Linked DNA regions of Ovis aries. The protein of the gene in region 6 purifies or fractionates together with the protein of the main gene of each other region. This does not show direct contact. Links are inferred from orthologs where the notes say so. Each region holds a gene or a part of one and is shown on either strand. Other genes may lie near its edges.

Region 1 (4,300 bases), on a different chromosome or scaffold from region 6:
ATTCTATTGTTCATCTTCTCTCCTTGATTAGTTTCAGTCTATGACAGTGTGCCCCACTCCCTTCACCCTCCACACTGCCCAGAATTGTCTTCCTAAAGGAGAAGTCTCATCATGCCACTCCACTCCTTGCCTTAAAGAGCAGATCCACTACTGGATCCACGTGTCCTCCTCCAGGGGAGGCTCCTGGCTCATTTCTTTAGCTGCTGAGCTGCTCCTGCTCAGTCATGTCCGAGTCTTTTACGATCTCATGGACTGTAGCCTGCCAGGCTCCTCTGTCCATGGGATTTTCCAGGCAAGAATACCAGAGTGGGTTGTCATTTCCTACTCCAGGGGATCTTCCCGACACAGGGATCGAACCCACATCTCCTACATTGGTAAGTGGATTCTTTACCACTCCATCACCTGGGAAGCCTCATTCCTTTACCTGCTATACAAAATCCTTCACACCCTGTTCCAGTCATCCTCTTCAGCCTTCTCTCTCCTGCCCTCTACTCCCACAAACACCTCATTATAGGATGTGCCTTGCTTTTCTCTGTCTTTGGAATACCCTTTCTTAACTTCTGCCCACACTTCAGAAAGATTATCCTCAAACGTGCCCTCCTCTGGACAGCCTGCTCTGCCTCCATCCCTCCCCAGCCAAGCTCTGGGAGTCACTTTGTCTTCTGAGTCATACCTCTATTATAGCATTCCTGGAATCATAATATCTCTTCATATGTCTCCTCAACCATACGAGGAAGGCAGGGGTGATGTTAATTCATGTCTGAGTTCCCACTGCCTAGTATAGTGATTAGCACAAAATAGACATGGATAGATGTATGGACGGATGTATGCATGAATGGATGTTAACTTCGATGAATGGATGGAGAAGAGTAGTAAGAGAATTTAGAAGTAACCCTGCGAAGATCAAAGAGAGACACCAGAGGGAGCTGACACACCACAATAAAGAAGTGGGAGGGAGGGCCAAAGACGGCTACAGGCTCCGGGGTGAGCGGCGCGCAATAGGCGAGCATCTCGCAACTGGAACCGCTCACCACCTGTGCATCCCCTTATCCTCCTTCCTAGACTGTGTTCGAGCTCACCCACTGCCCCCACCACCCCCGTAGCCTCCAACGCCACTGAGAAAGCAAACAAAGGGGAGGAAACCCCTGCAGGGTGCTTGATGCAGGGAGCCAATCAGAATGCTTTAATCTCCTGGAAGGCGGGCGCCTCCTTTTGAGGGGGCCCAGTTAGTTCCTAAACGGGTGCGGAGGGGCGGAGAGATGGGCGGGAGTAGCAGGGTGTAGAGACCGCGCGCGGGGAGGGATCCCTCCGCAGGGGTCGGGGTGGAGGGCGGAGGGGGCGGGCGGAGCCAATCACCGCGCGTGCCTGTAAGGAGAGGGAGGGCAGTGCCGTGGCGCGCGCAATCCGGCTGACGCATCTGGACTCCGTTCTCCAGATCCAAGTTGGGAGGGGGGAAGGAGAGGCGGGGGTAGTGGAGAGAGCGCGGGGGCGCGCGTGCGCAGTGGCGCGGGGAGGAGCAGGGACCTGGCAGCGGGCTAGGAGGCTGTGAGCTATCCGCGAACCGGGCGGGCGGCGGGCGCGCGCACCATGGGGGAGAAACCCGGGACCAGGTAAGAGAGGTGGGGCCATTCGGCGGGACGTGGACGGCGGCACCGGGCGGGTGCCGGGACGGTCCTCAGACAGGAACACCAGGGAGAAAATTCGGGGGCCGGACGCCTGGGTCCCTAGGGGACAGCCATTCGGGGCCGCACGCCTAGGTCCTCGAGGATAATGAGGGGAAGGCATGCCACAGTCCCTGCAGAAAGCGAGGGCTGAAGATCAAGAAACCTGCATCGGGCTTCTCGCAGAGATGTAGGGGGCCGGACGACTGGGTTCTCCGGTGCAGCCTGCGTTGCAGGGGCGGAGGAAGGAGCAGGTGGCCGGCCCGGAGGGGACGGGTGTGGGCAGACTAGATGCCAGGGGCGGGATCCCCCGAAGACTCGTGCCCAGCCACTTGAAAGCCTCCTATCCAGTACCCCACAGGCAGTCAGACTGCCCCCACCGGCCCCAAGGGCCGGGTGGCTCTGCTTCCAAACTTCTGCTTTCCCCCGGGTTGCTAGGAGCAACAGCTTCATTTTGGGGGAGCAAAGAGTGCTTGACGACCCTCCCCAATTCTGGGCCTTATCCCTCTTCCCGTGAGTGAGGGGAGGCTGTATCTGCCCAGGGCACGCCATCCACTCCCCGGATGTTTTCTGTGCAATCGAGGCTCCTTCCTTCCACTGACACCCCGAGTTCTCTTTTTTGGTCTCTAGCAAAATCCACTTCCTGTTGTGACCCAACACCTCCGGGGGTGAATGCCTGAGTCTCTGGGGAGCAGGAGCAAAAGAGGGAAAAGATTAGGGCTATTTGCTTCTCTCCAGAGAGGATCAGGAATGGGGGCCTGGTTCTGAGCTGTCACTTGTTCTGCAAAACATTTTACCAGCCCCACAGCTCCCCACCCATAGAATAGGAAATCACAGGTTCCCGAACACCCAGTCGATTGATACTGGAGAGGTGATCAGAAGGAGGACTGGTGTCCTGGATTAGGGGTTAAACACAGCAAAAGGGGAAGTCGCTGACTTGAGGGAGGCCCCAGATTTCCGTTATGTGGTTCAGGGAGGGGGACGGATGGACCACACAGGGACTGCTGACTTGGCACAATTCCTCCCACCTCCATCAAATTCTGGGCCACAGGAAATGGAGAGAATAGCAGGAAGTGTGAAGGGGCATCTGCTTCTGCTGCCCCCTCACCCACTCGGCACCTCTCAGGTCACCCCAAAACTCCGCCTTCTTGGCCAGCCTCACTATACACATGCTTGCTCCTCCCTAGCAGGCAGGAGGCTGGCTGGGTTAGGATCCAAAGGGCAGGTGCCCTGCAGCTGCTTCAGGGCAATTACTCCAGAACCACACTCCAGTTGTCCAACAGACTGTGGCTGTCCCAACCCTCTGCCAAGGACTCCTAATAGGAAGAAACACTGGGACAGAGAGGAAAACCAGAAGCAAAGGGGAGGGAGAGCTGAAGGCTGCCACAGCAGTCAGCCCCCAGGTGGGGACAAGAGATAGGGTGCTTATCCTAGTTCCCACCATACCAGTGTCTGCCCTCCTTTCCTCGATGGGGGTACCTGGGGGCCTCTGTACCCTATGCCTTGTGGTCTTTGGATAGCTTGGCCTTCTGGGAAGAAGGGGCATGTGACTTTGTTACAGTGGATGGGCCAGGTGGCAGGATTTCAGTTTCTACTACCTGGGGACCCTTCCTGGGTATCACTGCTGAGGCAGAGTGGATTGGTAGGAGTAAGGTGGGGCAGCAAAGAACAGGCCCACAAGTGGCCAGGGCACAGGGGTTGCCAGACATCTCCCTATCCTCCCAGCAGTGGGTGGAGTCCAGGCTTAGACCATTTCAGCAACCAGAAAGCGGAATCTCCTTCACTCCAACAAACATAATGCCAAGAACAGAGGCAGGATAGTACAATCATTTAGTGATGAAGAGCCAGAGTACCTCTGTACCCGAATTCCACCATTTACACTCTCCGTGACCTCAGGCAAAATACTTGACCTCTCCTGGGCTTCAGTTTCCTCACCTGTAAAATAGGAATATTAGGACCTCCATCACTGGGTTGCTGAGAGCATTAAATGCAGTCACACACCTGAAACACTTGGCACACTACAGGGCATGAACCATACACCCATAAATGTTAGGAAGCATCACGGCGTCTGGCTTATGGCTGCAACTATGCTGGGGATGCCTGAATCAGTAAGGCCTCTGTTGCTCACAGTCTAGTGAAATACATGATACACAGCTAACTGCACATTATCACACTACATGTGTGCTAAGTCCAGTTCTTTGTGACCCCATGGACTGCAGCCCACCTGGCTCCTCTGTCCATGGGATTCTCCAGGCAAGAATACTGGAATGGGTTGCCATGCCCTCCTCCAGGGGATCTTCCCGGCCCAGGGATCGAACCCTTGTCTCTTACATCTCCTGCATTGGCAGGCGGGTTCTTGACCACTAGCACCACTTGGGAAGCCCTATCACACTACAGGTAAAGCATAAACAAGGTGTGACAGAAACCCCAAAAAAGGGAGTGACTAGAGTGGGGCTGGATCTACTTTCTAAAGGAGGTGACATCTGAGCTGGGCCTTGAAAGACAAATAACATTTTAAGCTGCTGAGATCAGAGACAGGGACAGTTGGAGGTTAATGGAGAGTAGGGTCACACTTAGAAACCTCCCATAATAGAAACCAATTTAGAGCCACTGCTCTTTCCAGTATTCCAGCTCTTGTG
Region 2 (5,039 bases), on a different chromosome or scaffold from region 6:
CCGAGGTCTTTGAAGGGCTACAGAATGGTAAATTATTTTGCTAAATTTCATACTAAGACAATTTCACAGGAATAATTTAGGAGGACCTTTTGCATTAGTATTCTCACTTCGTTCTGACCAGAAATAAGAGTTCTGCGGAAGTTAGCTTGCCTAGGCTCCTACGGCTGTTAGAGACAAACTGAAACTGTTTAATCGTGAATTCTGAACTCTCTTCACTACCACAAAATAACTACTTTCACTGTGATTGTGCCTTCAAACATAAACATTTTAACTGGGTAGACGAGTTTTACAGAAATTTATGTTCTTTTATTTAGAAGATGAGAAATGTGTGTTGAATCCAGTGTGAATTAACACCTTGCTATCATCTAACCAAGTGCCTCATAGGTAAACAGCTCTCTTGCCAATTCAGGAGACGCAGGAGAAACGAGTTCGATCCCTGGGTCGGAAAGATTCCGCGGAGAAGGAAATGGCAACCAGCTCCAGTATTCTTGCCTGGGAAATCCCATGGACAGAGGAGCCAGGCGGGCTGCAGTCCATGGGGTCGCAAAGAGTCGTACATGACTGAGCACATACGGAGCCTGATATCCCATGTCCTTTAATCATGGTGCTTACCACACTAGTGGTTATACACTTCTCACCAAATTGCAAGATCCTGGAGGACAGTGAGGTAAGGTGAAGGTGAAGTCGCTCAGTCGTGTCCTCTTTGCGACCCCATAGATTGTAGCCTACCAGGCTCCTCCGTCCATGGGATTTTCCAGGCAAGAGTACTGGAGTGGGTTGCCATTTCCTTCTCCAGAGGATCTTCCCAACCCAAGGATCGAACCCGGGTCTCCCACATTGTAGGCAGACGCTTTACCGCCTGAGCCACCAGTGAGCTAATCCTTCATCCTAGCTCCTTTGGTGGACATTTAATATCGCTCAAGTTGAATTAATCCCTGAGAAGAAACATGCCACTCAGATTTGAGCTCATCCATTTTTTTCCCATCACCCTCCCTACTTTTATTTTAATCCCGAGGTTCTTGAAAGATTGCAATGGTCAACCACCTCTCAGTGAAATCAGCGAGTTGAAAAAACACTGACTTCATCAAAGTGCCTATCAGGTATCTCACCCCACAGTTCGCCTCTTGACAAAACTGTGTTAAACGCTGCTCTAAGGCGCAGATTCCCCACATGGACGGAGACTTCCGGCATATCTGCTTCTCTATTCTTGAACATACCTTCCAAACAATTACTTTTTATACTGAAAAGTCCTTGATGCAATTTTGTTTCTTTCTAAATATTATCGTTAGAAAGCTCCCAAGGAAATAGCAGGAAGGCAATGCCCTCCTCCTTCCCGAGATATCTGGGGGAGCCGGAGCTCACTGGAGTTCATGCCAGTTGGGTCACCAGGGACCAGCTGTTAGATAGCAGATCAGGGTGCCGCATTTCTCCCCGTTTTCGCTGAGCTAAGCAGTCCTGTCTTCCCAAGAGCTACCGCAGCGGGGAGCTTTCAGGGCGTGCCCTCACTCCACCTTCCAAAGCCTGGCACACCAGGGTTCCCAATTCCTGTACCCTGCTAAAACTACTCTCTTTTGATACCAGAAGAGTCAGGCATAGAGGAAGGAACCCTAGCGCCAGGCCGTTTTTCAGTCAAAACACCTAAACCAAAACCCCCAGACCCAGTACCCACCCATTCGTCCTTTCATTTTGCAGCGTGGACAACAATAGAGAACTACAACTCCCAGGCAGGACTGCGCTCGTCCAGCAAGGACCAATGGACTTGTGATACAGGACCGGCACGGACTAATCAGGGCCAGCCTAGTGAGGCTTTGTCTCTCCACCGCGGCGCGCGGAGAGTTCTCCCGCCTCCCGGCCCCCGCGCACGCGCGCCCCGCCCTGCCCGCCTTTCCTCCCGCGCCCTCCCCTCTCCTTTCTCCCTCTCAGAACCTTCCTGCCGCCGCGTTCGGACCTCGCTGCTTCAGCCTCCGGGTCCCGTTCCATCTTTTCACCCTGCGACCAGCAGCAGAGAAAAACTAATTCCGTATTATTTTTTTGCCCCGTACATACTTTGAGGCGAGCAAAAAGATTAGAATAAATTTTAACAATGAGGGAAATCGTGCACATCCAGGCCGGTCAGTGTGGCAATCAGATCGGTGCCAAGGTAAGGATTTTTAACCTCTTTTGACTGTATTTATTTTTAAGGAAAAAAAAAACAAATCCAAACAGGTATATTATGACGGATGGTTGTAGAACGTTTGCATCTTCCATTCTTAGTCCAGATTTGCCCCTCAAAACTTTTATATATAAATGCACCTTTGAACCTTAGGATTTGCTTTTGAAAAATGAGGAATTATTTTTCTTGGCAGGCTTATTTTGGGGAAGCTGTTAAAAGCACCCTTCAGGGTTAGGGGGCGGGAAAACCGAGTTTCTGTAAAATTTTACTTAGAAAGGGGATCTCCTAACGGTCCGAGGACCGGGGAGCGAGGGAGATGCGGAAACGGCCCGAGACAAAAGCTGGATGAGGTTTTCCCCATGTGCATCCCCCTTGGCGGGGCTTCGTGGGGCTAACCCAGAGGGGGGAAGGGGCGAGGATGGCGGGCAGCTGCCGAGAGGTCAGATCCAAATGTAGGGGCGCGCTGAGCCAGGTGGGCTGGGCGATATCCTTTACAAATGATCAGGAATCTCCGGGCGCTCGCGATCCCCAAGGGGCGGTCCCGCAGTTTTTCGTGCATGGAAGGCTAATATGTGCTAGACTAATTTGTTCCTTTTATTTCCCCTTAACAGACTCTTAAGGGCGTGGACAGATAGGGAGAAAGGGCGAGGAAGGAAAGGGAGTCCATTCTTTGAAGGGGTTCCTCAGAGCTAGAGAATAGGACAAAGGAAGAAAAACCTCATTTAAAGCAAGGGGGTTAAAAGCTAGCAAAGAAATGAAATTTCGAGGCCAAGGGGGAGGGTTTTTTTTTTTTTTGCGCGCGGTTACAGTGTAGCGGGGGAGGGGCAGGGAGGAAGTGCGGCTGCTACGTTGTAGCAGAAGGGCGGGACCCGGGCGCCCCTGGCGCGCTGGGACAATGCGGCCAGGCTGGCCGGCGGGGGGCGCGCGAGCCCGAGCCAAGCCCCGCCCCTGGCGCGCGGAATTCGCCCTTCGGCCCCGCCCTCGCGCGGCACCTCCCTTTGTCGGCCGCCTGGCGCGTGCGTGCGCCGCGGTCACGTGCAGGGCGGGGTGGGCTGCTGCAGTGCCTCCTTTTCTTTGCACCCCTCCCCGCCCCGTCTCTTTGTGCCCAGGGTGACTACCTCCATCTACCCACCCCGCGCAATCCCCGGACCCTTTAAGCCACACAGCATCTCACGTCCCAGGCAGTGAAAGCTGCCTTTTCCCCGAAGGTGCATGTGGCTAGGGGAAGGGTGTGGCAGGCAGAAGAAATGCTAGATCTTTGGGGAGGGCCCGCCACAGGCGAATCTGGAGCTAAAATGGCAGTAGGGGAGCATAATTGGCTGCACCCTGAGATGCTGAAGACTCTTTGCTCTTCCCTGGCAGTTCTGGGAGGTAATCAGTGATGAACATGGCATCGACCCCACCGGCACCTATCATGGGGACAGCGACCTACAACTGGACCGCATCTCCGTGTACTACAATGAAGCCACAGGTGAGGGCAAGAGCCCGGGAAGCAGGGGTCCCATCTCTCCCACTTCTTTGGGGTCTCTGCCTCCCCGGGACACCTTTTACCCCCTTTGAATGAATCTATCTACACTCACTGGAGACCTTTCTCGCTTTTCCCAGTGTCTCTGCTGCCACCTGGTGGCAGTGTCTGAAATCACACATATGGGTCCCCGGCTCTCTTGGCCCCAATTTATTTATCTCTATGTCTTCCAGTTTTCACTCTTCTACTTTATTTCTTCTAGGTGGCAAATATGTCCCTCGTGCTATCTTGGTGGATCTAGAACCCGGAACCATGGACTCTGTTCGCTCAGGTCCTTTTGGTCAGATCTTCAGACCAGACAACTTTGTTTTTGGTGAGTTAGGGAAATATCAATAGATAGTGCTAATCGAGTTATTTGGGTGCAGTGAGAGTTAGAAATGATTGTACTTGAGTTTATACAGACTTGTGTTTTTAAATCTAATGGAGAGTGGTGGTAGTAATTTAGATAGCAAATTATATAGGGGCAGATGTATCATCGGGGAGTAAGAAGGAAGATAAATCCACTGGCCTTAATCCAAAAGTTGAAAGGTAGAAATGGGGTTGTGTATCTTTCAAACTTGACTGAACAAGTTTGCCTTTTAACCCCATCACAGGTCAGTCCGGGGCAGGCAACAACTGGGCCAAGGGCCACTATACAGAGGGAGCCGAGCTGGTTGACTCGGTCCTGGATGTGGTTCGGAAGGAGGCCGAGAGCTGTGACTGCCTGCAGGGCTTCCAGCTGACCCACTCACTGGGTGGGGGTACTGGCTCCGGAATGGGCACCTTGCTCATTAGCAAGATCCGTGAAGAGTATCCTGACCGAATCATGAACACCTTCAGCGTGGTGCCCTCACCCAAAGTGTCCGACACTGTGGTTGAGCCCTACAATGCCACCCTCTCCGTCCATCAGCTGGTGGAGAACACTGATGAAACCTACTGCATTGACAACGAGGCCCTTTACGACATATGTTTCCGCACCCTCAAGCTGACCACACCAACCTACGGAGACCTGAACCACCTCGTCTCGGCCACCATGAGTGGAGTCACCACTTGCCTCCGCTTCCCTGGCCAGCTCAACGCTGACCTCCGCAAGCTGGCCGTCAACATGGTGCCCTTCCCACGCCTCCACTTCTTCATGCCTGGCTTTGCCCCTCTAACCAGCCGTGGCAGCCAGCAGTATCGAGCCCTCACTGTCCCTGAGCTCACCCAGCAGGTCTTCGATGCCAAGAACATGATGGCTGCCTGTGACCCCCGCCATGGCCGGTACCTCACCGTGGCTGCTGTGTTCCGTGGGCGGATGTCCATGAAGGAGGTAGATGAGCAGATGCTCAACGTGCAGAACAAGAACAGCAGCTACTTCGTGGAATGGATCCCCAACAACGT
Region 3 (5,236 bases), on a different chromosome or scaffold from region 6:
GTGAGTCTCTAGGAACCCCTGAGGCATACTCTGAACAAGCCTCATTTCCTCTATAAAAGAAATCGAGTTTGGTCAACTGTACAGAACTTAGGCTAATTAAACTTATACTAGCTATCAAAGGAAACTGCAATCTTGCAACTTCAGGCGTGTTTTAAAATAGGAAATACAATTATTTTTCTGGATGAGCAGACTGAATAATAGCTTAAAGCTACAGAATCCAAGTAGAAAGCCTTTTAAGAGTCTTTCTAGTTTTATAATTTGACTGAACTGCCTCTCCACACAACTGAATAGTCAACTTGTTTTTGTTTGTTTTTTAATCAGTTGAACCCAGGAAGAATTCCTTGCTCCTCTCTGATAATATAATAGCCTCTTGAGAACCCTTTACAAAAATACAGTTTAGAAGCATGGAACATACAAAAAAGGAAACCATTTAACTTGATAATACCCCACCCAGGTAATTCAGATACCTAAGATAATTTTTCATTGGAATTATTTAGCTTGGCCAAAACGCCAAACTTCAGTTACACCGTATAATTACTCTTCTTTCTTACACTTTTTTTCCATTTGTCACTTACTCCTGATTCTCATCAATTGTCACTAACTTTCTTTTCCTTCACTTACAATCTAATCACAGTTCAACCAAGAATGTCACTTACTGTGAAAGTCTTCTTAATTCAGAGTCAGGTTGCATGCCACTGTGCTGATAGAGTAGACAAGAAATGTCCAAGGCCAGAGTTGTGCTGCTGAGATCTGTACCATGCCGATGCCAGGTACTTTCAAGCAGCTGGCAACCAGTAACACTGTAGGAACTGACTCCAAACTACCTTTCAGAAACTAAAGATCTCATATACAGAGTGACTCGCTGATAAACAATTTAAGGGGAGAGCCCTTACTCAAAGTTATTGAAAGCTATGAATAATCCCATGAAACTACATTGCAAGTCTACTTGGGAAAACTTTTTAAATTTGATTTTTCCTTTAAGAGATTCTGGGAAAATCTCGTATTTTAAAGTAACTTCCATTCCAGTTACTGTATTTGGATTTGTTCCACCGTACCTGGATTCATTCCAATTTATCTGTGGAACTGGGCAACTAATAGTCTTTATTCGGCATTTCTTATATTTCTTGAATGAAAATGGGATGGACTAGTGGGATTAATGGCTAGGTATTTACAAGACACTAGTAATTCTGCCATTTTCTCTGTATAAAGATTCTTCCATGAAGAATCTGGACACAAAGATGGACAAAAGAGGCAGGAGTTCTAATCCAGATCAAGTTCTAGAAGTACAGCTCACCTTATCTCTCTTATTAAAAAAAAGTTAGATGCTGAAGAAGCTATTTAAATATTCTTCCAAAACTTTAACAGAAATGCTAAAATCAGTTACTAACATAATAAATCAGTGTACCCTGACTTTAAAAAGATATTTTCACTTATGATTAATAAGAAATATGGAAGTCTGAATTGCGGCATGTCAGTCTCTCAAGGACAGCTAAGAACTGATGAATTGGCAGCAAAGTCGGGTTTTTCAATGCATATATTGATACCCAAGTGCTCAGAAAAAATTCTTTTCGAGTCTACTATCCACGAATTTACCAGAAAGCCAAGTTAACAACACAGCTAATCTCGCAGATATCTGAGTTAGCCAGCACCATTTTGCTGGAGAGGGGAGACTGGACACTGCGGGCAGTTGAGAAGGTTATAATCTTTGGAAACTAAAGGCGCCTGCAGAGAGGCCTCTTTCGTGGTCTCTGACGAAAAACGTTGAGGGAGAAGTAAAACAGCCCCAATTTCCCCAGAACGGTCCTCACTCGAAGCTCTGGTTCCAGGAGACGCACGCTTTGCTGAGGTAAGACGGTCCCCTACGATTTATAGCCAATCGCTCGCGAAGGGTAGGTGTCGAGGTGCGCAAAGAAGGCCGCCTCAGCCGCCTTCGCCTCCTCCAAGTCCCTGCATCTCAGCGGAGCCGGGAGCAGCGAAGGAACCTCCGGGCTAGCCCCGCTGCGCTGACGGGCGTCGTCGTGAGCCAATGAGCGGGCAGGGAGGCGGAGCAGGCAGGCCGGCGGGGCGGGATTTCCCGCGCCATCGCGCGGCCGCTCGGCGCCCGGCGAGGGCGGTGGAGCCAGCGAGAGAGGGCGGGTCGGGGTCAGCTGCTGCAGGCGGGCGGGTGCGGGGAGCTGTGGGCGGCCGCCTCGTCTCTTGCCGCCGCCCTCCGTTTGCCACGATGCCGGGGATCGACAAGCTGCCCATCGAGGAGACGCTGGAGGACAGCCCACAGGTTAGGCGGCGGGAGGCGAGGGAAGGAGCGGGGCTGGCAGATTCCAGGCCTGGCCCCGCCGCGGCCGCAGGTGCCCGCCCTGGCCCAGGTGGGCGCCGCCCCCCAGTATCCCTGCCGGTCGCGGGCGGCGCCCGGAGCTGCCGAGGCCGGGCCGCCCTCCCGAGGCCCGCGTGGGCCTGCGTCGCTGGGCCGAGAGCCGCGCTCGGGGTCTGGGAGTCGGCGGGCGGCGACCAAACCGCCGCCGCCGTGGCTGATGGGCCCGGCGGTCGCTACGCGCCCGGGGCTCCCTGGTATTTGACAAAAGATGCTTTTTAATTGCCGTGATGTGAGGTGATAAATCCAGATCCTGGAATTTTCTTTTCGAAAACCTCTTCGGAGGAAATGCAGGAGGAAAAACGACCCTGTAGACTTAATGATTTCTGATCAAGCTAGGGAAGGAAATGGACAATTTTGAGGGAAAAATACTGAAAGTCTGTTGATTAGCCCGCGCGGAAAGCCGTCGGCGAAGCCCGTCACGGATCCCGGAGCCTCCCGGCCGAGCGTCGTGACCCTGAGTGCAGCCGCTGTCACTCGGGCCGTGCATGCCGAGAGGTGGACGGCGCCTTTGCGGCTCCACGACTGCTGCGCCCGGGTTGCAGACTTGGCTCTAGTAAACTCATCAAAATAAAAGCCCCATGTTTTGTGCATTGGGGATGATGCTGGTGTGGTTGCTCTAGCTTAAGATAGTCTCTTCCTTAAGATAGGAAGACGTAACAGGGACTTATGTTTTCAGTGCTGAAGAATGAAATCAGCTATGTTAAAAAAAAAACATGCTAGTAGGGGCTGAAACTTGGGCTGAGAAACTTCATCCCTGGGCCTGTCTTCTTACACAATAAGGGATTCGAGACGAAGTTGCTCTTGGGCTACCACTTAGAATGAAGACAGTTTTCTGAAATGTTCATTTAGAACTACAGTTGCAGATATTTCCTGTGTCTTAATGGTTTAAATGACTCCAGAAGAACAGGAGGGAGAGGCTAGATCCCACTTTCCTGTATGACTTGTCTGCCATGGATATGGTGCTAGTTTTGACTGCCAGGTTGGAGTTGGGCTCTGATTGTAGAATTGATTGGGCTTTTTTTTACGCTGAAAGTTATCTTCACAGGCCCGATCCCTGCTGGTAATGTACTCTTATCAGCCTATACTGACACAAAGAGAGACCGACTTGGCTTATTTTGACTGCCAGAATAATAGCCAGTTCAAATATTTAATGACTTCCGTAGTATAAAGTTATAAGCTACATTTGTTTCAGATGTTTAGCAAAAATTTTGTGGGATGCATTGGTCAGGTACACTTTGTCGTTTTACTTTTTTATAAGACTCAACAGGCTGCCTTACCTTTCTTCTCTTCCCTGGCCTGGCTTTTATAGCTGCTCATAAAGACTGCCCAGAATGGGTTTCACAGTGCCCTTAGCCATGACTTATGAGGAGGGTATAATGTTAACTTATCTAATTTCTTGATTTTTTCACACAGTAAGTTTACAACTTGAGCATTAGGTTTTTGTATTTTTTTTCTGTTTTTTACAAGCATGTGCCATATTAGTATTAATTTTTAATGAAAGAGCCACATTGATAGTCTTTCAATTTCTAGAAGTAATAAATCTGAACTAGTTAATATTTATTTGGGAAAGTTAATTGGGACAACTGGGATTTAGAAAGGGAAAACACTGGGAAGCGATTCTAGGAGAAAACTTGTGGCAAGAATGAAAGCCCTGGATTTGGGATTTAGGATATAGTCTTTACTGCCAGTTGGTACCTTCTACTTTATGGCAAGTCACTTAACTCTCTAAATTTCAGCTGTTATAGATAGTGAAATTTTAGTCTTTGTACTTGATTATAAAAATAATAGTTGTTTGCTTCAGAAAAATTAAAGGTACAGAAAGCACAATTACCTGTCCAGCACTCGGGAGTAAACTCTGTTAATGCTTTGCTTTCTTTTTTGTGGGTTTTTTTCCTTTCTCTTACACCTTTTAATGTGATTGAGATTATATTGTGTATAATGATTTTTATTTGGCTCTAACTACACATGATAACTTAAGTATCTTCACACATTATCACATACTGAATAAACAACTCAAAGGTCGTGTGTTTCCTTGACTGGCTTAATATGGTTGTCCTGTTGTACTTTTGTAGTTTATATAGAGAGCTCAGATTAATGCTTTGGGATATAAATTTTTGTTCTTCTCTAGACTGTTTATCTAGCATCAGTTCAGGTCAGTCGCTCAGTCATGTCCAACTCTTTACGACCCCATGGACTACAGCATGCCAGGCCTCCCTGCCCATTGCCAACTCCCAGAGTTTACTCATATTCCTGTCTATTGAGTCAGTGATGCCATCCAACCATCTCATCTTCTGTCATCCCCTTCTCCTCCCGCTTTCAATCTTTCCCAGCATCAGGATCTTTTCAAGTGAGTCAGCTCTTCACATCAGGTGGCCAAAGTATTGGAGTTTCAGCTTCAACATCGATCCTTCCAATGAACACCCAGGACTGACCTCCTTTAGGATGGACTGGTTGGATTTCCTTGCAGTCCAAGGGACTCTCAAGAGTCTTCTCCAACACCACAGTTCAAAACCATCAGTTCTTCGGCGCTCAGTTTTCTTTATAGTCCAACTCTCACATCTATACATGACACTGGAAAAACCGTAGCCTTGTTGGCAAAGTAATGTCTCTGCTTTTGAATATGCTGTCTAGATTGGTCATAACTTTCCTTCCAAGGAGTAAGCGTCTTTTAATTTCATGGCTGAAGTCACCATCTGCAGTGATTTTGGAGCCCCCCAAAATAAAGTTTTCCACTGTTTCCCCATCTATTTGTCATGAAGTGATGGGACCAGATGCCATGATCTTAGTTTTCTGAATGTTGAGCTTTAAGCCAACTTTTTCACTCTCCTCTTTCACTTTCATCAAGAGGCTCTTTAGAAAAAAAAA
Region 4 (4,502 bases), on a different chromosome or scaffold from region 6:
CACAGGCAGTGCAAAGGCCCTGAGGCTTGAAGTGAGTTCGGGAAAAGGTGAGGCAGCCAGTGTGGCTGGAGGGAGGGGGTGAGCAAGAGGAGACGAGGCTGTGGAGGAGACCGGACAGGTTGTGCTTGGCTCTATGGGCTCCGGGGAGGACTTAGGCTTTTGCTCCGAGTGAGGTAGGAGTCATAGAAGGTTCTTTTTTTTTTTTTTTAACATTTATATATATACTTGGCTGCATTGAGTCTTAGTTGTGGCACACAAGATCTTTGTGCCGCAAGATCTTTGATTCTGTGTATTGCAGTACACAGGCTCTTTAGTTGTGACCCTGGCTTAGTTGCCCCAACTAGGATCTTAGTTCCCCAACTAGGGATCAAACCACTTTCCCCTGAGTTGGAAGGCGAATTCTTATTCACTGGACCTCTGGGGACGGCAGCCATAGAAGCTTCAGTGCAGAGAAGGCACCCGCCCTGGCTCAAGCCTACCTTAGGGGTGAGAGCGGGAGCCGGGCATCCAGTGCGTGGAGGTCAGTGTGGACCTTCTCTGGGGTTATCCCAGGTGCGACTAGAGAGCCCGGGGCCGGGGACAGGGCTAAGCTCTTCCCCAGAGTGACGGGCCATGCCCAACCCTCAGGCCCGGGTGGAGCGCATGGAGCAGTTCCAGAAAGAGAAGGAGGAACTGGACAGGGGCTGCCGCGAGTGCAAGCGCAAGGTGGCCGAGTGCCAGCGGAAGCTGAAGGAGCTGGAGGTGGCCGAGGGCGAGGGCGGCAAGGCCGAGCTGGAGCGGCTGCAGGCTGAGGCGCAGCAGCTGCGCAAGGAGGAGCGGAGCTGGGAGCAAAAGCTGGAGGAGATGCGCAAGAAGGAGAAGAGCATGCCCTGGAACGTGGACACGCTCAGCAAGGATGGCTTCAGCAAGGTTGGCGAGGCCTGGGCCTGACGGGCAGCGGGCAGGGGCAGGGAGCACTGCGCAGGTCCAGGAATGGATGGATGCTGGTGGAAAGGGGGGTAGTGCCGGAGGGGAAGAGAGCAGGTGGGGGGCCTGGCCGGTGAGGCACTCCACCAGTACCCCTCCCTCTGATCTGCCCGAAGGCCCCAGTCCGAGGCCACACCTGCCACGCCCACGCCACACTGATGTGCACGGCACCGTCACCGCCTCCGCTGTGGATGGGATGGGCGTTGCGGCCGCGGCCGGCCCGGCCACGTTCGAGGCGCCCCGCGGCCGCAGCCTCGCCCCAGCCCACTCCCCTTCTCGCCTCACCACAGAGCATGGTCAACACCAAGCCTGAGCAGGCAGAGGAGGAGTCGGAAGAGGTGAGGGAGCAGAAACACAAAACCTTCGTGGAAAAGTATGAGAAACAGATCAAACACTTCGGTGAGTTGGGCCCAGGCGTGGGCTCCAGGTGGGTGGTGCGCGTGAGGGAGGGCTGGCCCTCTGCGTCCGGGGGGGCTGGAGCACCTCACCATCACCTTCTGGCAGGCATGCTGCGCCGCTGGGACGACAGCCAGAAGTACCTGTCAGACAACGTCCACCTGGTGTGCGAGGAGACAGCCAACTACCTGGTCATCTGGTGCATTGACCTAGAGGTGGAGGAGGTGTGTGCAGACAGTGCTGAGTGGGGGGTTGGGAGGGCCCAAAAGGCTCTGCCTTTTTTTTCTCATATTTTTAAAATTCTCTTCATCATTCATGTTTGTTCAGAAAATTACAGTAGGCATGAAGGGAAAAAGAATGTATTTTTAAACACTGTCTGGAGTCTAATATAGGAAGCCATACCATTATCTCTTAGGGGGAAAAGGGCGTTAATTTTACATTGAAGTTAAATATTAAGACCAGCGTCCAAGTAAGCCACGGATAAGATTTAAGTGCAAGTTGTGTTTTCACACAGTGGGGGCTGGGGACAGGAGCCTGCCACTTGGTGACGCTGTCCTCCCTTGGCAGAAATGTGCCCTCATGGAGCAGGTGGCTCACCAGACCATCGTCATGCAGTTCATCCTGGAGCTGGCCAAGAGCCTCAAGGTGGACCCCCGTGCCTGCTTCCGGCAGTTCTTCACCAAGATCAAGGTAGGGAGGTGGTCCTCCTCAGGGATCCAGCCTGCGGGCCACTGGGGGAGGCAGACACGGATCCACTCGGACTCAAGCCTCTGTGATCAGAATCTCATCCATCAGCAGAGGATTAGTCCGTGGAGGAGCTGGGTAGTGGGTGGCTCCAGTGGAGATTTGGAAAGCTAAGCTGGCAGCACGTGCTGAAAATCCCAACCTAGGTGAGGGCCGGAGTCATGAGCGCCTGTGGGTTTCTTACCTGAACACCTGGAGAGCAGAGCTAGGGGAGATTCAGGGCAGACCGGAGGATGATTAAGGGCAGCTGTGTTGAGTTTGAGGTGCCTTCGAGACTCCACAGGAGGATGTGGAGGAGGTGGGTGCCACGAGTCTGCAGTATAAGGGGACATTCAGTCAGATGATTGTAAGTACAGGGGTATAAGGCTGAGCTCAGAGAAGACAGAGGAGGCTAGACAGAGCAGAGGAGAGGCCTGAGCCTCAGAGTACCTGTGATTTAGTTCAGGACCAGCTGTGGGGAGCCCTTGGGCGCCCTGAGGACCTGCACTGGGAGGGTCCTGGGCTCCCAAGTCTCCCCTGGTGAACACAGTCCCTCCCCTGCAGACTGCCGACCGCCAGTACATGGAGGGCTTCAATGACGAGCTGGAGGCTTTCAAAGACCGCGTGCGGGGCCGTGCCAAGCTGCGCATTGAGAAGGCCATGAAGGAATACGAGGAAGAGGAGCGCAAGAAGCGGCTTGGCCCCGGCGGCCTGGACCCTGTCGAGGTCTACGAGTCCCTTCCTGAGGTGAGGCTCCCCAGACCCTGGCAGGTGGCAGGTGGGCTGTCAGCAGGATCCCTGGGACCCAGGCCCTGACCCCGCCCCCTGCACCCACAGGAACTTCAGAAATGCTTTGACGCAAAGGATGTGCAGATGCTCCAAGACGCCATCAGCAAGATGGACCCCACCGTGAGTAACCACACACCCAAGCCCACCTGGTCAGGCAGTGTGTCTCCCCCACCTCCTCCAGCCCTGCTGACCACGTTGCTGCTGGCAGTACCCCTCCTGGGCTTCTCAAAAGAGCCAGGGAGGTTTTGTCACCATGTGGCCGGCACACAAGACAGCCAGGCTTCATGCCCCACGCTCTCTCACTTTTGTTGAGCAGCTGCTATGTGCCCAGCATCTAGATTGAGTGTCCCTGTCCCTGTGGGCTGTTTATGAGCTCACCCAGCTGACACTACCTTTGCCAGCAACTCGGAGCGGTCCGCTCCACAGTCTCAGTTACCCCATCAAACCAGTCTCTCTCAAAAAACATATTAACTCACAAAATCCGTAAGCAGGGCCAAGTATGTGGTTCGCGCTGGCAAACCTCAGCTCTTTGGAGCAATAACAGCGCTGGTGGATAAGTACCCTGAGTCTTAACGAACCTCTGTTTAAGCCGCTTCCTGCTGCTTAGCTCACTGGTTGGCCACACTGGTTCCCTTCTGTAAAATGGATCTAGTTTCTAGACCAGCTCAGGGTTTCTAAAAGCTTCTATGGGGATAAGCATGTAGACCAAGGGTCTTCAGAGAGTCTGGCTCAAAGGTTCACTGCCTGTCTGTAAATAAAATTTTGCTGGAACCGCAGCAGCCAGGCTGGGTTATTTTCATCTTGTCTGTAGCTGATTTTGTGCTGCAGCCATATTGAGGTGTGATAGAATGAGAGGTTTTGACAGGGGCTACAGGACCTTCAAGCCAAAAATATTTGCTGTCTGGCTTTTTATTTTTATTTTTTTAAGTTTGCTGACCCTTGTTCTAGACCTACACTTTTAAAATTTGAGTTGTTTGTGCTAAGTTGCTTCAGTCACGTCTGACTCTGTGACCCCATGGACTGTAGCCTGCCAAGCTCCTCTGTTCATGGGATCCTCCAGGGAATAATACTGGAGTGGGTTGCCATTTCCTCCTCCAGGGGATCTTTCCGACCTGTGAGTTGAACCGGTGTCTGATGTCTTCTGCATTGGCAGGCAGGTTCTTGACCACTTGGATTCCCAGGTGGCTCAGACAGTAAAGAATCTGCCTGCAGTGCAGGAGACCTGGGTTCCATTCCTGGGCTGGGAAAATCCCCTGGAGAAGGGAACGGCTACCCGCTCTGGTATTCTGGCCTGGAGAATTCCATGGATTATATAGTCCATGGGGTGGCAAAGAGTCACATATGACTGAGCAGCTTTCGCTTCACTTCTTTACCACTAGTTCCACCTGGGAAGTTAACTTTGAATTAAAGTTACGTAAAATTCAGGGACTTCTCTGGTGATCCAGTGGCTAAGACTCCACGCTCCCGGTACAGGGAGCCCAGGTTTGATTCCTGGTAAGGGAACTGGATCCCACATGCCACAACTAAGACTCAGCTCAGCCAAATAAATGTATTAAAAAATAAATGAAGTAAAATTTCAAGCACTGTCCTTGCCTTGCACCAATCACATTCGAAGTACTCAGTAGGCA
Region 5 (3,345 bases), on a different chromosome or scaffold from region 6:
GGTGAGGGCGAGGGCCGCGCTTTGGGCTGGGCCCAGCGGCGGGTGAGGGCAGAGGGTAAGACACACCTAGCGGAACCCTCGAGCCTCCCACCTCCGTGTCTCAGTTTGCTGGTTTTCCTCCAGCTCCAGTGACGACCGGCGGCGCGGCGCCCCCGGAGGGGGCCATGTCTAACGGGGTTTACGTGCTGCCAAGCGCGGCCAACGGAGAGGTGAAGCCAGTGGTGTCCAGCACGCCTCTAGTGGACTTCCTGATGCAGCTGGAGGATTACACGCCTACGGTGGGCTTCCTGCCTGAACAAGGCTAATGACTCGCTGTCACGCCAACTTCTGCCACACCATCTGGATTTGCAGCATCCTCTTGTGTTTCTCTTCCTAGCTTTTGTGATTTTTCCCTTCTGCCCACCCAAACTGGGAGCTTCCTGATAGCCAGGCCTGCCCTCCATTTCCCTTACCCCGACTCTCAGCCCCGCTGTACACAGGGCTAACGCTTACAGTCGTCTAATTGATTTCTCAGATCCCTGATGCAGTGACTGGTTACTACCTGAACCGTGCTGGCTTTGAGGCCTCCGACCCACGCATGTGAGTAAACTCTGGGCAGGTTAGAGTGTTGGGTGTTTGTGTGGAGTTTATTGTCTATGCTCTTCTCATACCATTTTTTTCTCTCCAGAATTCGGCTCATCTCCCTAGCTGCCCAGAAATTCATCTCAGATATTGCCAACGATGCCCTACAGCACTGCAAAATGAAGGGCACAGCCTCTGGCAGCTCCCGAAGCAAGAGCAAGGTGTGAGGGGAGGCTCATTGATTCAGTAATTACTTCCTACAGCAGCAGAGGCTTAAATTATCCTGAAACCCCTTTGAGGGAAATTAAGCCTTAGGGGAGGTGAAAGACCTACTCAGGGTCACCTGCCTGGGATTGAAATCTGGAATTCCTGTGTTCAGCTGGTGCTCTTCCCTCTTCCCTCAGGACCGCAAGTACACTCTAACCATGGAGGACTTGACCCCTGCCCTCAGCGAGTATGGCATCAATGTGAAGAAGCCGCACTACTTCACCTGAGCCACCCAGTCTAAATGTACTTGTCTGTTCTCTTGTCCCCACACCAGCCTGTTTTCATAATAAACTTTATTGTGACAGGCAGGGCTGATCCCTCCCATGCTGGGAGACACCGTGTGGCAAGTGACAAAGCTTTGAGCCCATTCCCTTTTGGGGCCACAGTGGTAGGGATGGGGGCAGGGGATGGGCCCCATGGCTGGGGTAGTACCATGACTAGTGGCAGGGGAGGCAACCAGAGGCCTACTGCTTTGGGGAGGTGCACTCCCCTAACCGTGTCCTGACACCTCTGGAGTTCAGATAAGGACTTTCCAGCTCTACTTGTCCTGCATCTTCTCCAGGATAGGCACGATCATGTCAAACTTGGGCCGCTTAGCAGGGTCTTCATTCATGCAGATCTTCATGAGTTTACAAACGTGGGGGGAAATGCCTGGTGGGATGGTAGGCCGAAGGCCTTCCAATGCCACCTGCAAACACAAGGAAAAACAAGGTGAGTCTCAGAACTTGAGTCTCATGTCGGGAGAGACGTCTAGCCCTCAGGACAGGATTCTGTGTATTTGAATCAATGTGGCAGGAGCCCAGCCCCACTACAATTATTGTCACTACCACCACAAGTATATCCAGTTATGCTCTCACCTTCATTCCAATTTCCATGTTGGAGAGGTCAGCAAAGGGTACCTCCCGTGTCACCAGTTCCCACAGAAGCACTGCAAAACTCCACATATCTGCTGAGCGTCTGTTTGTGTCTTCAGGCTTCTTTTGCAGAGCTAGAGGGATAGGACTTATCTGTTCCAGCTGCTTGTCCTGTCTGTGTTCCCTTCCATTACTACTGAGCTGCCCCTTCTCTGCCTCACATCATAATGCCATCACTCACCTTCAGGAGCCACCCAGGCAGGTGCATACATGCGCCCGGGGCACTGGAAGGAGAACTTGACGTCGGCCATACTGATTCGAGCAGTCATGTCCTCATCAATCTGAGGAAGAGAAGATAGTTGTGTGGAAGGAGGTAAGTCCTATTCTAGGGAAAGGACCTCTGGGGCTTGGGCCGGGAGTGAAGTTGTGATCTCACCATTACACTACGGCTGTTGAGTGCATGTCGTGGGATGAGGGGCTCTAGTGTGTGTAGGAAGGCCATGCCCCTTGCCATGTCCAATGCAAACTTCACAGCCTGGCTCTGGTCCACAACGAAATCTAAGTGAGAAGGCAAGAGTTAAATCATTTGGAGAGGCTCACAGACTTTCCTTCCCCACACCCTGCTGCAGTGAGATTTGGCACTCCCTACTCACTGGTGCCTTCATGTAGCACATTGTACAGGGATCCGTATGGCATCCAGTGTGTGATGAGGGTCGGGTGAGGAGCAGGTGGAGACTGACAGGCACCAAGCACTGGGAGCACATTGGGATGTGAGAAAATCCTGGAAGAGGGAGAGAATGCCCCTGGCTGAGATCCAGCATAAAAGATCTCCCTCTGGGTGCTGACAGGGCTCCTTGAAATCAAGGCTTCCAGTTTAGGCCTTGCCCCACCTGAGCCGGGGACACTCCTCATTGAAGTCCCTGCTCTTCCTTGTACTCCAGTCTCGAACCTTTAGCATCTTCACGACAATGTCATTGCCCTGCCAGCGGCCCTTCCATAGCTGAGGGACAGATAAGGGTTAGAAGGCTTTAACTAAGGCCACTGTTTTCTTGCCCACTAACTGGAGGAGAGACTTAAAACAGGTGCACAACAGGTAATAGGGTGGGGTGGGGAGTTACCTCTCCAGAGTGATTCTCGTTGAGCTTCGCCAGGAAGTTGAGCTGTTTGAAGTCAATGCCGGAGTGTTTGTTCAGAGTCCCATTTCCTGAGAGTGTGGGCAGGTCAGGCACCCAGCTTCCCTCTTTCCCAGCCCCAGGAGTCCAGGACTATTCTCTCACCACCCCTCCCCTCACAGCTGACTCACGGGGCCGAGTGCGGGTAGTCCCCTTCCAGAATGTGTCCTTGTATGGAATACGGTTCAGATTCTGGCCCATCTTCTCTGCCCGCTCTGGGGAAGAAAGACAAAGTCTTGACCTCAGCTGTTGTGTGGAAAGAGACAGGCTAGGACAAGACGAGGACACAGCGGTGGGTGGGGACAGACCTCGGAGCAGCTCTCTCAGGGGTGCCTTGGCTTTGTCCACAGGCATCTCTCCATACTTGTTACAGATGCTGACAAGGGCCCCATTCGCCACAAGGTCCTGGAATTAAGAGATGGCTGTGATGAGGGCATTCCCAACTAAGCATGAGTGCAGATGCAGTACAAACCTTGTGAATGTTGCACACA
Region 6 (3,264 bases):
TCACCCCCACTCACATCTCACACCAACACCTGCTCACCCCTGCACATCTCACACCAACACCTGCTCACACCTGACCCCTGCCTGCTCACCCCCACTCACATCTCATACCAACACCTGCTCACACCTCTCACACCTGCTCACCCCCACTCACATCTCACACCAACACCTGCTCATACCTCTCACACCTGCTCACACCCCCGCCTGCTCACCCCCACTCACATCTCACACCCCCACCAGCTCACGCCCCCACCAGCTCGCACCCCCGCCTGCTCGCGCCCCGTACATGTGAAGAGGCTTTCGAGGACTGAGGCAGCATGCTTCCTGCACATGTGGTTCTGTGCTTTTGGCCCTCTGTGGGACCCACAAGCTCCAGGCCCTGGCCCGTGCTGGCAGCGTGGCTGACAGACCCAGGAAGGTGGTCCCTAGGCTTGCTAGGTGTCTCTCCTCAAGCCCGCTTCCACCCTGTTGTCAGCGCACCCCTCCTCTGCAGGCTACACGCAGCCAGCTGGACCTCTGTCCCTGAGACGGGGCTCCCCGATTCTGCCCTTCTCCAGCCAGGGCCCTGCCCCAGGGCCTGCTGCCTCCTGGCCCTGCCTTTTGAGGGCTCTGGTGCCAGCCCTGACCCAAGACCCAGCCTGCTAGTTGCTGCTAGTTCCCAGGCAGACCTGACCCTGGGCCAGGGTGGAGCACATGGGGGTCCTTGCTTCCTCCCATGAGTCTGGCCCTTTAAAGCTGCCCTCGAGTCCTGGGTCATGGTGGGTCCTCTGCAGCCTGACGCTGCCTGGCCACTGATGCCCAGGGCCGAGAGTGAGGTGGGCAGCCCTGCAGGTGGGTCCCTGAATGGCGAGGTCCCCTAGGGCACCCAGGCAGGGGAAGGCCTGGCCACAGGCTTGTCTTCTGGGTGGGGAGCCGTGTCTGGGTCCAGGTGTGCCGGGCAGTGGGAGCAAGGCCCGTAACCCACCCCCCGCCTCCTGCAGCTCAGCCCGCCCTTCAAGCCTCAGGTCACGTCTGAGACGGACACCAGGTATTTTGATGAGGAGTTCACAGCCCAGATGATCACCATTACGCCACCTGACCAAGGTGAGGGTGGCCCTCCCCGCCGACCCCTCAAGACAACAGAATTCTGTTCAGCATTTTACTGGGCGGCTCCCTCTCCTGTTAGGGGAGAAGGCACTGGCACCCTACTCCAGTACTCTTGGCTGGAAAATCCCATGGACGGAGAAGCCTGGCGGGCTGCAGTCCATGGCGTCGCTAAGTCAGACACGACTGAGCGACTTCCCTTTCCACTTGCCCTCTGCAGGGTGGGCGCCAGGGCCGCAGTCCCCTGGTCCCAGCATTGTGGGGGCGGGGGTCGCTGAAGCTTGCTGTGGAGTCTGGGGGGGAGCCCTCGGGGCCTGCCCCGGTCTCCGCAGTGCCTGGGAGCTGAGCCGCCCCTCCTGTCCGCAGACGACGGCATGGAGGGGGAGGACAGCGAGCGGAGGCCGCACTTCCCCCAGTTTTCCTACTCGGCCAGCGGCACGGCCTGAGGGGCCTGCTGGGCCGAGCTCAGGACACCGCCGCGGGCAGCCACGTGCTCCGGACGACGCGTCCCGAGGACTGGGAGGAAGCCTTGCACGGAGGATCTGTATTTAATGTTTTTTTATTTCTGGATGCGTTTGGGTGGAACCACGCCGTCCGCTAACACGGATGGGGAGGCGCCCCATGCCATGGGCAGGGCCGCCCGCACTGGGGGCAGAGTGCCCCTGGCCAGCCAGCTCGGGAGGAAGACGTCCTGCGGTTTCTCTTAATTTATTCATCCAGTTCTCCAGACGCTGCCTCCGCCTTTGGAACGATTAGATTCCTGTAGGAAAGCAAGGACTTCTGCAGCCACGGGCTCACCGGTCCCCGTGGGCCCTGCCCGTGGCCCCTCTGTCCGTCCGTCCGGCCAGCTGTCCCCAGCTGCCCCCACCTCCCCCGACCCCACAGCCCCAGAGGCCATCTGGCTGTGGGGTGCTGGCCCAGCCCCCTCGCTCGGGAAGGGGCTGAGCAGAGGCTGCAGGAGGGCGGCCCCCACGATCAGGCTGGGCCAGGGCTGCGGTGAGATAGAGGGGTCGGGTGCCACCTGTCGCTGTCTGTGTGTACTGGGGTTTCTGATCTCAGGAGAAAGCCCTCCCTGCGCCCCTTTCCCACTGGGACCGGCTCCCCGATGGCTCCCCCGGTAGCACGTGTCCTTCTAGAAGCTTCACTCCCGCTGTCGCCCGGGCGCTGCCCGGCGCCCTATGCAGGGGCCATCGCTGTGCCCTGTGTGCCTCCTGGCCAGACGCTGCGCTGCACCAAGGCGTTTTTTTATACTCAACTTTAGTATTTTTACTATTATGAAACTTTCCCTCCAAATTCTTCAATAAAAATTGCTTTTCAACTCTGGCTCGCCTTGCTGGGTGGCGGATGGAGGTGCATGTGGCTGACCTCCCGACAGGGCACACGTGGCCTTCCGGAGCCCGAGGCGGCCTGCCTGGAAGCCCGGGGACAACCTGAGATGGGGTCCCTCACCCGCCTCTGGCAGGATTCGCTGGGGAGTCGGAGGGAACGCCCTGGCTGCCCCTGTGCCCACGGCTTCACCCCAGCCCCACACCTTAAGCAGGCCACCCAGGCTGCACAGCTGTCTGCCCAGCAGCACCATCCATGCAGCAGGCCTGACCACCAGGATGGACCGGGACCCTGCAGGGCCCACTGCTGGCTAGGACAGACACTCCAGCCACCGGCAGGCCCTGGGACCTGAGAGGACCAGAGGGCAGCCTGCCAGGGGTCACGCAGCAAGCCCGGGACAGCTGGGAGGGGCCCAGCGGGATGGGCCTCGGGCGCCACCTGGTGGGTGCAGAGAGACGTTGCCGCGCAGCGCCGGCCTCCGGGCGGGCCATCAGCACCTGCAGGGAGGGGCGGGGCCTTGCCCTCCCCTCTAGTGGACTCCGCCGTCTCTTCTCCAGGCTCCGGGGCAGGGGACCCTGACAAGGCATTCCTTGGAGTGGGGTGGCTGCCCGCTTCTGCTGGACGGGGTGCCTGAGCAGTGTGGGGTGCTGGAGGTCTGTCCAGGCCTGGGGGTGCCTCTGGAGCCGCCCAGTTCACTCTAGTATACAGCAGCTCTCTTGGAGACCAGACACGCCAAATGCTGCCTGCTGAGCGTGCTCTAGACCCATTTCAGAAACACACAGGCGGCTTCAGACTGGAAGCCTGTGCACTGTCGGTGGGAGCGCACCATGGCACGGCCCGTGGATAATGGTACGGAGG
Region 7 (4,271 bases), on a different chromosome or scaffold from region 6:
CCATAACTAGTTTTCCAGAGGTGCAGCCGTGTAACATCACTGCTCAGGAGGTCAGAGCTGCACATTCTGTACTCTGCTTTTATAAGAGAAAAGCACATGGCAGGAAGGCAAGCTGATACCAGGTATTCTATCTTCTTAAAGAAAGCAAGTTCTAGGGTATATTTTAGGGTCATTATACATTTGGCCCAATGTAATACATCCACAGCTAGAGCATAGACTATAATTAGTTATATGGACTTTAGGAAATATTTCATTAATCAGAATTGATACAAATAAACTTTAATATCTTTTTGCTTTCATTAGAGACACTTGGGTTTATTAGAGAATGCAAATGGTTGCAAATGTTACCTCTATACAAGTGATTTTCAGTGTGAGGTTATGATTGTTTGCAAAAATATATTCACCAGGAATTTAAAAATATATTTTCCAAAAGGAAAACTGGTTTCAGTAATAATATACCTGTGGTACTTAACCACCAAGGACTGGGGACTGTTGACCTCAATTTTTCTATCTGTTGAATAAGCTGAATGAGAATTTAGTTCTAAGCTAACAGTGACCATCTTCCATGGCCTGGAATTGGTTCTACTGGGGTAGGGACTGAGGGTTAGTAAAAGGTAAGGATGGAGGCCATATGGAAGAGGAAAGTATAGAAGATAGAAATCAGATTCAGGATTGTCTTCAAATTTCCAAGGATACTTCTTTGTTCTTTGCAGCTCCCCGTCATAGTTTTCTTCTGCTGTCGTCAGGAATCAGCTTGCTTTTCTTTTTCATTGCTGTTATCTATATTTTCCACAGTTTTTTTCACCTTCCCTAATCTTTGCAGAAAAGATAGCTTATCTTTTCTGTCTCTTCCCCTACATTTGTGTCTCAGAAGTAAGCATGCTGATGTTTTTACTACTTGTAAGGAAAAGGAAATGTTCCAGAAACAAAAAGAGATCTTTCATCTGGCTGTGCCACAGGATCTCTTTTTCCCCGAGTGAGCATTTTCAGGGGGGAAAAGTTGTATATAAGTGCTACTTATATTTCAGAGGAAAATCAGATTGGCGTTATAGTGGACTCCTTATCATTAGAGCTGGGCAGAGGCAGCAGCCTGGAGTAACAAACAGGACTCTGCCTCTGGGTGGGAGGGATGAGCAAACTGAAGACAACAGGAATCAGCTGTGTTGGGTTGCTGGGTTGTGGTGTTGTAGCAAGAGCAGTATCATCCTGACCCTGAAAATCAGAAAGTAGAGGAAATTCATATGCCCTTTTGCTTTCATTCGACAGGGAGACTTTAGCACAAATGATAGAAGAAAATTTGAACTGTCTTGGCCATTTAAGCACTATTATTCATGAAGCAAATGAAAAACAGGGCAACAGTATGATGGTAAGTTTTATATGAATATGGATGTGTGTTTTAAGTGTGTTGGGTGCAAAGGGCTTAACTTTCCATGCTGGACTTATCTGGTGTTTGGGATTCAGTTGGGGAATAGAACTCAGAGCAAACAGCATTTGAGGAATGCTTAACCTCAACTCCCCATCTTCTCTTACTCATGGATATACTAGGATTATACCATCAGTAATCTTTAATAGCATTTTTGGTCAAGTTAAATGATTGGTGAGCTTTCTTTGCAGTGTGACCACTGAAATCAAATGGTCTGTACTTTTTTGCTTCTGCAGTCAGTTTTCCCCAGTAAGATGGGGCATAATTTGTACTGTACTTCAAATATAGTAACTGTTGTGTGCAAAATGAATAATGTTAATATGGTTATTAACAGAAGTGTTTTTATGAAGATTTGATTGCTATGAATTACTGATTTGTTAAAACTTGGCGAAACTACAATAAAATATTTACTGAATTAACTTTTACTATGTTTAGTCTTGATATTAATTCTTTGTTTATTCCTCTTTCATTATTTGCTTCAAATATCTGAAAACTCTTTGAAAATTTTTTTTTGTTAGTAGAAATTAAGGTAAACTAGACTCTTTAATTGTAACTTATTTGTATTTTTGGTTTTTCAACTTTTGATTATAAAATCTCCAAATAAACAGAAAACTTGCAAAAATGAACACCCATATACCTACTGCTTAGAGTCAACATCTAATGGTAACTTTTTCATGCCTGGTTTTAGAGTCTTGATTGGAGTTGGTTAACAGAATGACTTGCCACTTAGTGACTCTCCTGAAACCTATGAAGTTGTTGCTGCACATGTTAGACATTTGTTTTTCTCCTATGAAGCCATTCTTCAAATACCAGTCAATGGAAGAAATGACTATGATCAGAAACTCCACATGATTTTACAGCATAATATTTTGATTCTGGGTAATTTTAACTTCTGAACAGATAGAATTTTATGAGTCGGTGGACTTAAATCCATTTGTCTTCAAACTTGGTAAAACATTACTTATTTAACTGATTCTTTCAACATTTAACTTTTGGGCATAAGGCCAAAATAATGTATACAGAGAAGAAAATCTCAACATGTATTCTAAGTAAAAAGTGTTTGCCTATGTTTCTGTGGAAGAGACTGCTTGTGTTGTACTTGTGTTGCACTTAACAGTGCTCTTCCCAGCCTCATAAGAGAGTTTAATCCCATTTTCCATTTTACTGTACATTTGATTGTATCCCTTTCCTATGAAAGGGATTGTGCATTTGTGCCTTTAATACCAATTGATTCTTCCAAATGTTAAGTGTGCTATATGTATATGTATTTAAGATGTACATTTAATAATATCAAAGAGAAGATACCTGTTAATTTATAATGTATTTGAAAGCTTATCTGTTTTCATTTGTAAAAATGGGTCTTTTCAGGAATCTTTCATGTCTTGTCATACAAATTTATAAAGATCTGCATTCTTTATCTATAATTCCAAAATCCAAAAATCTTTGAAAACAAGATTTTTCATAAAATTGATGACAAAATTCATCTGCTTGCACATCCAACAAGAATTGACAGTGAGTCTACTTATCCCATTTAGTGTGAATATTCTTTTCTTTTGCTGCAGAAATATTACTGTATTTGATTATTAGGGGGAAGGGTGCTGGCACAGACCCTGCCTGAGGTTTATGTAGTATGGTATATGCACTGAATTACCTTTCTAAAATCTGAAAATTTCATAATTCTGAAGCATCTGTCCCCAAGGGTTTCAAGACTAGATTGGGTTGCCTTCAAGATGGTATGGCCGCAGACAGGGTTTCAGATAAAGGATTGTGGATCTATTGTCTATTAAATAATTTAGAAGGTATTACTTGTTTTAAAAATGTGAAATGCTTTTGTATTCTAGACAGTTTTTCACTTTGTATATTAAACAATTTTTAAATTACTTTCTGAATCTCTATTCATTAAAACCAGACTGTAGCAGAATAATTGAATATGCTTTGAGAAAATGTGAAGGTTCCATGAAGCAAAGTTGGAGCACAGAGTAACATAACAGGCTTTTAGTGTACTTAGGAATGAAACAGACTTACGGTAAAGGCAGTATTGGGTAGCTTCTTTAATATAGTCTTTTCTCCTGAGATGGCCTGTCATCACTATCTGTTTCTAAAAACTATGCTTATACCATGTCCTAAAAACTGCTGTCTTAGTTACACCATCCCCATTTTTGCTAATAGTGTCATTTTTCCAGTCATCTCAGTTTGAGACCTTGGGATTGTCTTCGCCTAACTTTTTAGTCAACTGCTACTACTGTTTCTCTGAATATGGACATTCTGGCTACCAGCCATTAAAACTGGCTGTCTCTCTCTTGCTTCTTCCAGTTCTAGAAGGTTTTAATCAGTAAACATTTATTGGGTGCCTGTTGCTTGGAAGAAACTGAGCAAAATGGGAAGATCAGAAAAATTAACACAGGCAGTACAATAAGAGTGTTTATTTGGAATGAAATTATTGTTAAAGGCTTTTTGAAATGAGCATTTTCTAAATATCATTATAATAACTGATAAAAGACCTGGTATAGGGTGGGACTATTTTTATGGTTTGTGGCTGATACCACCTCAGGAGAGCCTGATCTGTATGATATAGGCAAGTGGTATGAGTCAGAACAGCCTATTACAGTGAGATCACCTCAGATATGCTTTTGATACATGAGTTGACCACTCTATTTGTTATTTGTTGACAGTTTTCAGAGTTGAATTTCAATTGTGGATTATATCTATTTCATTCAAGCAATACTATGAAAAACTAAAATAATTCATCCAGAAAACAGAAGTAAACGAGTTATTTTTCATTCGTTTTGCTTTTTGTAGGTCAAAATAGCTAAGCTCTGCAACAAACATTTATCTAGTACAGACAAGG

Evidence for each region.
Region 1: the proteins of AKT1 (region 6) and ARRB2 purify together in Homo sapiens (affinity purification with western blotting; 4 studies listed by BioGRID and IntAct, with this or other methods). This does not show direct contact. The link is inferred for Ovis aries from reciprocal best matches to the Homo sapiens genes AKT1 and ARRB2.
Region 2: the proteins of AKT1 (region 6) and TUBB purify together in Homo sapiens (affinity purification with mass spectrometry, with the first as the bait; 3 studies listed by BioGRID). This does not show direct contact. The link is inferred for Ovis aries from reciprocal best matches to the Homo sapiens genes AKT1 and TUBB.
Region 3: the proteins of AKT1 (region 6) and APPL1 purify together in Homo sapiens (affinity purification with western blotting; 3 studies listed by BioGRID, with this or other methods). This does not show direct contact. The link is inferred for Ovis aries from reciprocal best matches to the Homo sapiens genes AKT1 and APPL1.
Region 4: the proteins of AKT1 (region 6) and CDC37 purify together in Homo sapiens (affinity purification with western blotting; 5 studies listed by BioGRID and IntAct, with this or other methods). This does not show direct contact. The link is inferred for Ovis aries from reciprocal best matches to the Homo sapiens genes AKT1 and CDC37.
Region 5: the proteins of AKT1 (region 6) and ILK purify together in Homo sapiens (affinity purification with western blotting; 3 studies listed by BioGRID). This does not show direct contact. The link is inferred for Ovis aries from reciprocal best matches to the Homo sapiens genes AKT1 and ILK.
Region 7: the proteins of AKT1 (region 6) and CHUK purify together in Homo sapiens (affinity purification with western blotting; 5 studies listed by BioGRID). This does not show direct contact. The link is inferred for Ovis aries from reciprocal best matches to the Homo sapiens genes AKT1 and CHUK.

The regions. Positions count from the first base shown.
Region 1 is NC_056064.1:26,521,472-26,525,771, reverse strand, and holds the start of ARRB2 (beta-arrestin-2), read left to right. Parts: upstream 1-1,500; 5' UTR 1,501-1,587; coding exon 1,588-1,610; exon of another isoform or gene 1,611-3,596; intron 3,597-4,300. UniProt on the Homo sapiens protein: Functions in regulating agonist-mediated G-protein coupled receptor (GPCR) signaling by mediating both receptor desensitization and resensitization processes.
Region 2 is NC_056073.1:27,415,520-27,420,558, reverse strand, and holds the start of TUBB (tubulin beta chain), read left to right. Parts: upstream 1-1,916; 5' UTR 1,917-2,083; coding exon 2,084-2,140; intron 2,141-3,514; coding exon 3,515-3,623; intron 3,624-3,879; coding exon 3,880-3,990; intron 3,991-4,270; coding exon 4,271-5,039. UniProt on the Homo sapiens protein: Tubulin is the major constituent of microtubules, a cylinder consisting of laterally associated linear protofilaments composed of alpha- and beta-tubulin heterodimers.
Region 3 is NC_056072.1:43,972,092-43,977,327, reverse strand, and holds the start of APPL1 (DCC-interacting protein 13-alpha), read left to right. Parts: upstream 1-2,086; 5' UTR 2,087-2,221; coding exon 2,222-2,275; intron 2,276-5,236. Other genes in the region: HESX1 (homeobox expressed in ES cells 1), read right to left, coding at 657-691. UniProt on the Homo sapiens protein: Multifunctional adapter protein that binds to various membrane receptors, nuclear factors and signaling proteins to regulate many processes, such as cell proliferation, immune response, endosomal trafficking and cell metabolism.
Region 4 is NC_056058.1:12,782,017-12,786,518, reverse strand, and holds part of CDC37 (hsp90 co-chaperone Cdc37), read left to right. Parts: intron 1-627; coding exon 628-909; intron 910-1,256; coding exon 1,257-1,365; intron 1,366-1,470; coding exon 1,471-1,586; intron 1,587-1,929; coding exon 1,930-2,052; intron 2,053-2,649; coding exon 2,650-2,832; intron 2,833-2,922; coding exon 2,923-3,186; 3' UTR 3,187-4,502. UniProt on the Homo sapiens protein: Co-chaperone that binds to numerous kinases and promotes their interaction with the Hsp90 complex, resulting in stabilization and promotion of their activity. Inhibits HSP90AA1 ATPase activity.
Region 5 is NC_056068.1:46,197,229-46,200,573, forward strand, and holds the end of ILK (integrin-linked protein kinase), read right to left. Parts: intron 3,260-3,345; coding exon 3,163-3,259; intron 3,070-3,162; coding exon 2,986-3,069; intron 2,887-2,985; coding exon 2,801-2,886; intron 2,683-2,800; coding exon 2,573-2,682; intron 2,464-2,572; coding exon 2,336-2,463; intron 2,241-2,335; coding exon 2,119-2,240; intron 2,056-2,118; exon of another isoform or gene 2,024-2,055; coding exon 1,924-2,023; intron 1,817-1,923; coding exon 1,686-1,816; intron 1,517-1,685; coding exon 1,367-1,516; 3' UTR 1,104-1,366; downstream 1-1,103. Other genes in the region: TAF10 (transcription initiation factor TFIID subunit 10), read left to right, coding at 124-278, 515-579, 668-782, 966-1,055. UniProt on the Homo sapiens protein: Scaffold protein which mediates protein-protein interactions during a range of cellular events including focal adhesion assembly, cell adhesion and cell migration.
Region 6 is NC_056071.1:66,959,365-66,962,628, reverse strand, and holds the end of AKT1 (RAC-alpha serine/threonine-protein kinase), read left to right. Parts: intron 1-977; coding exon 978-1,080; intron 1,081-1,446; coding exon 1,447-1,526; 3' UTR 1,527-2,403; downstream 2,404-3,264. UniProt on the Homo sapiens protein: AKT1 is one of 3 closely related serine/threonine-protein kinases (AKT1, AKT2 and AKT3) called the AKT kinase, and which regulate many processes including metabolism, proliferation, cell survival, growth and angiogenesis.
Region 7 is NC_056075.1:20,875,554-20,879,824, reverse strand, and holds the end of CHUK (inhibitor of nuclear factor kappa-B kinase subunit alpha), read left to right. Parts: exon of another isoform or gene 1-1,212; intron 1,213-1,266; coding exon 1,267-1,366; intron 1,367-2,111; coding exon 2,112-2,141; 3' UTR 2,142-3,303; downstream 3,304-4,271.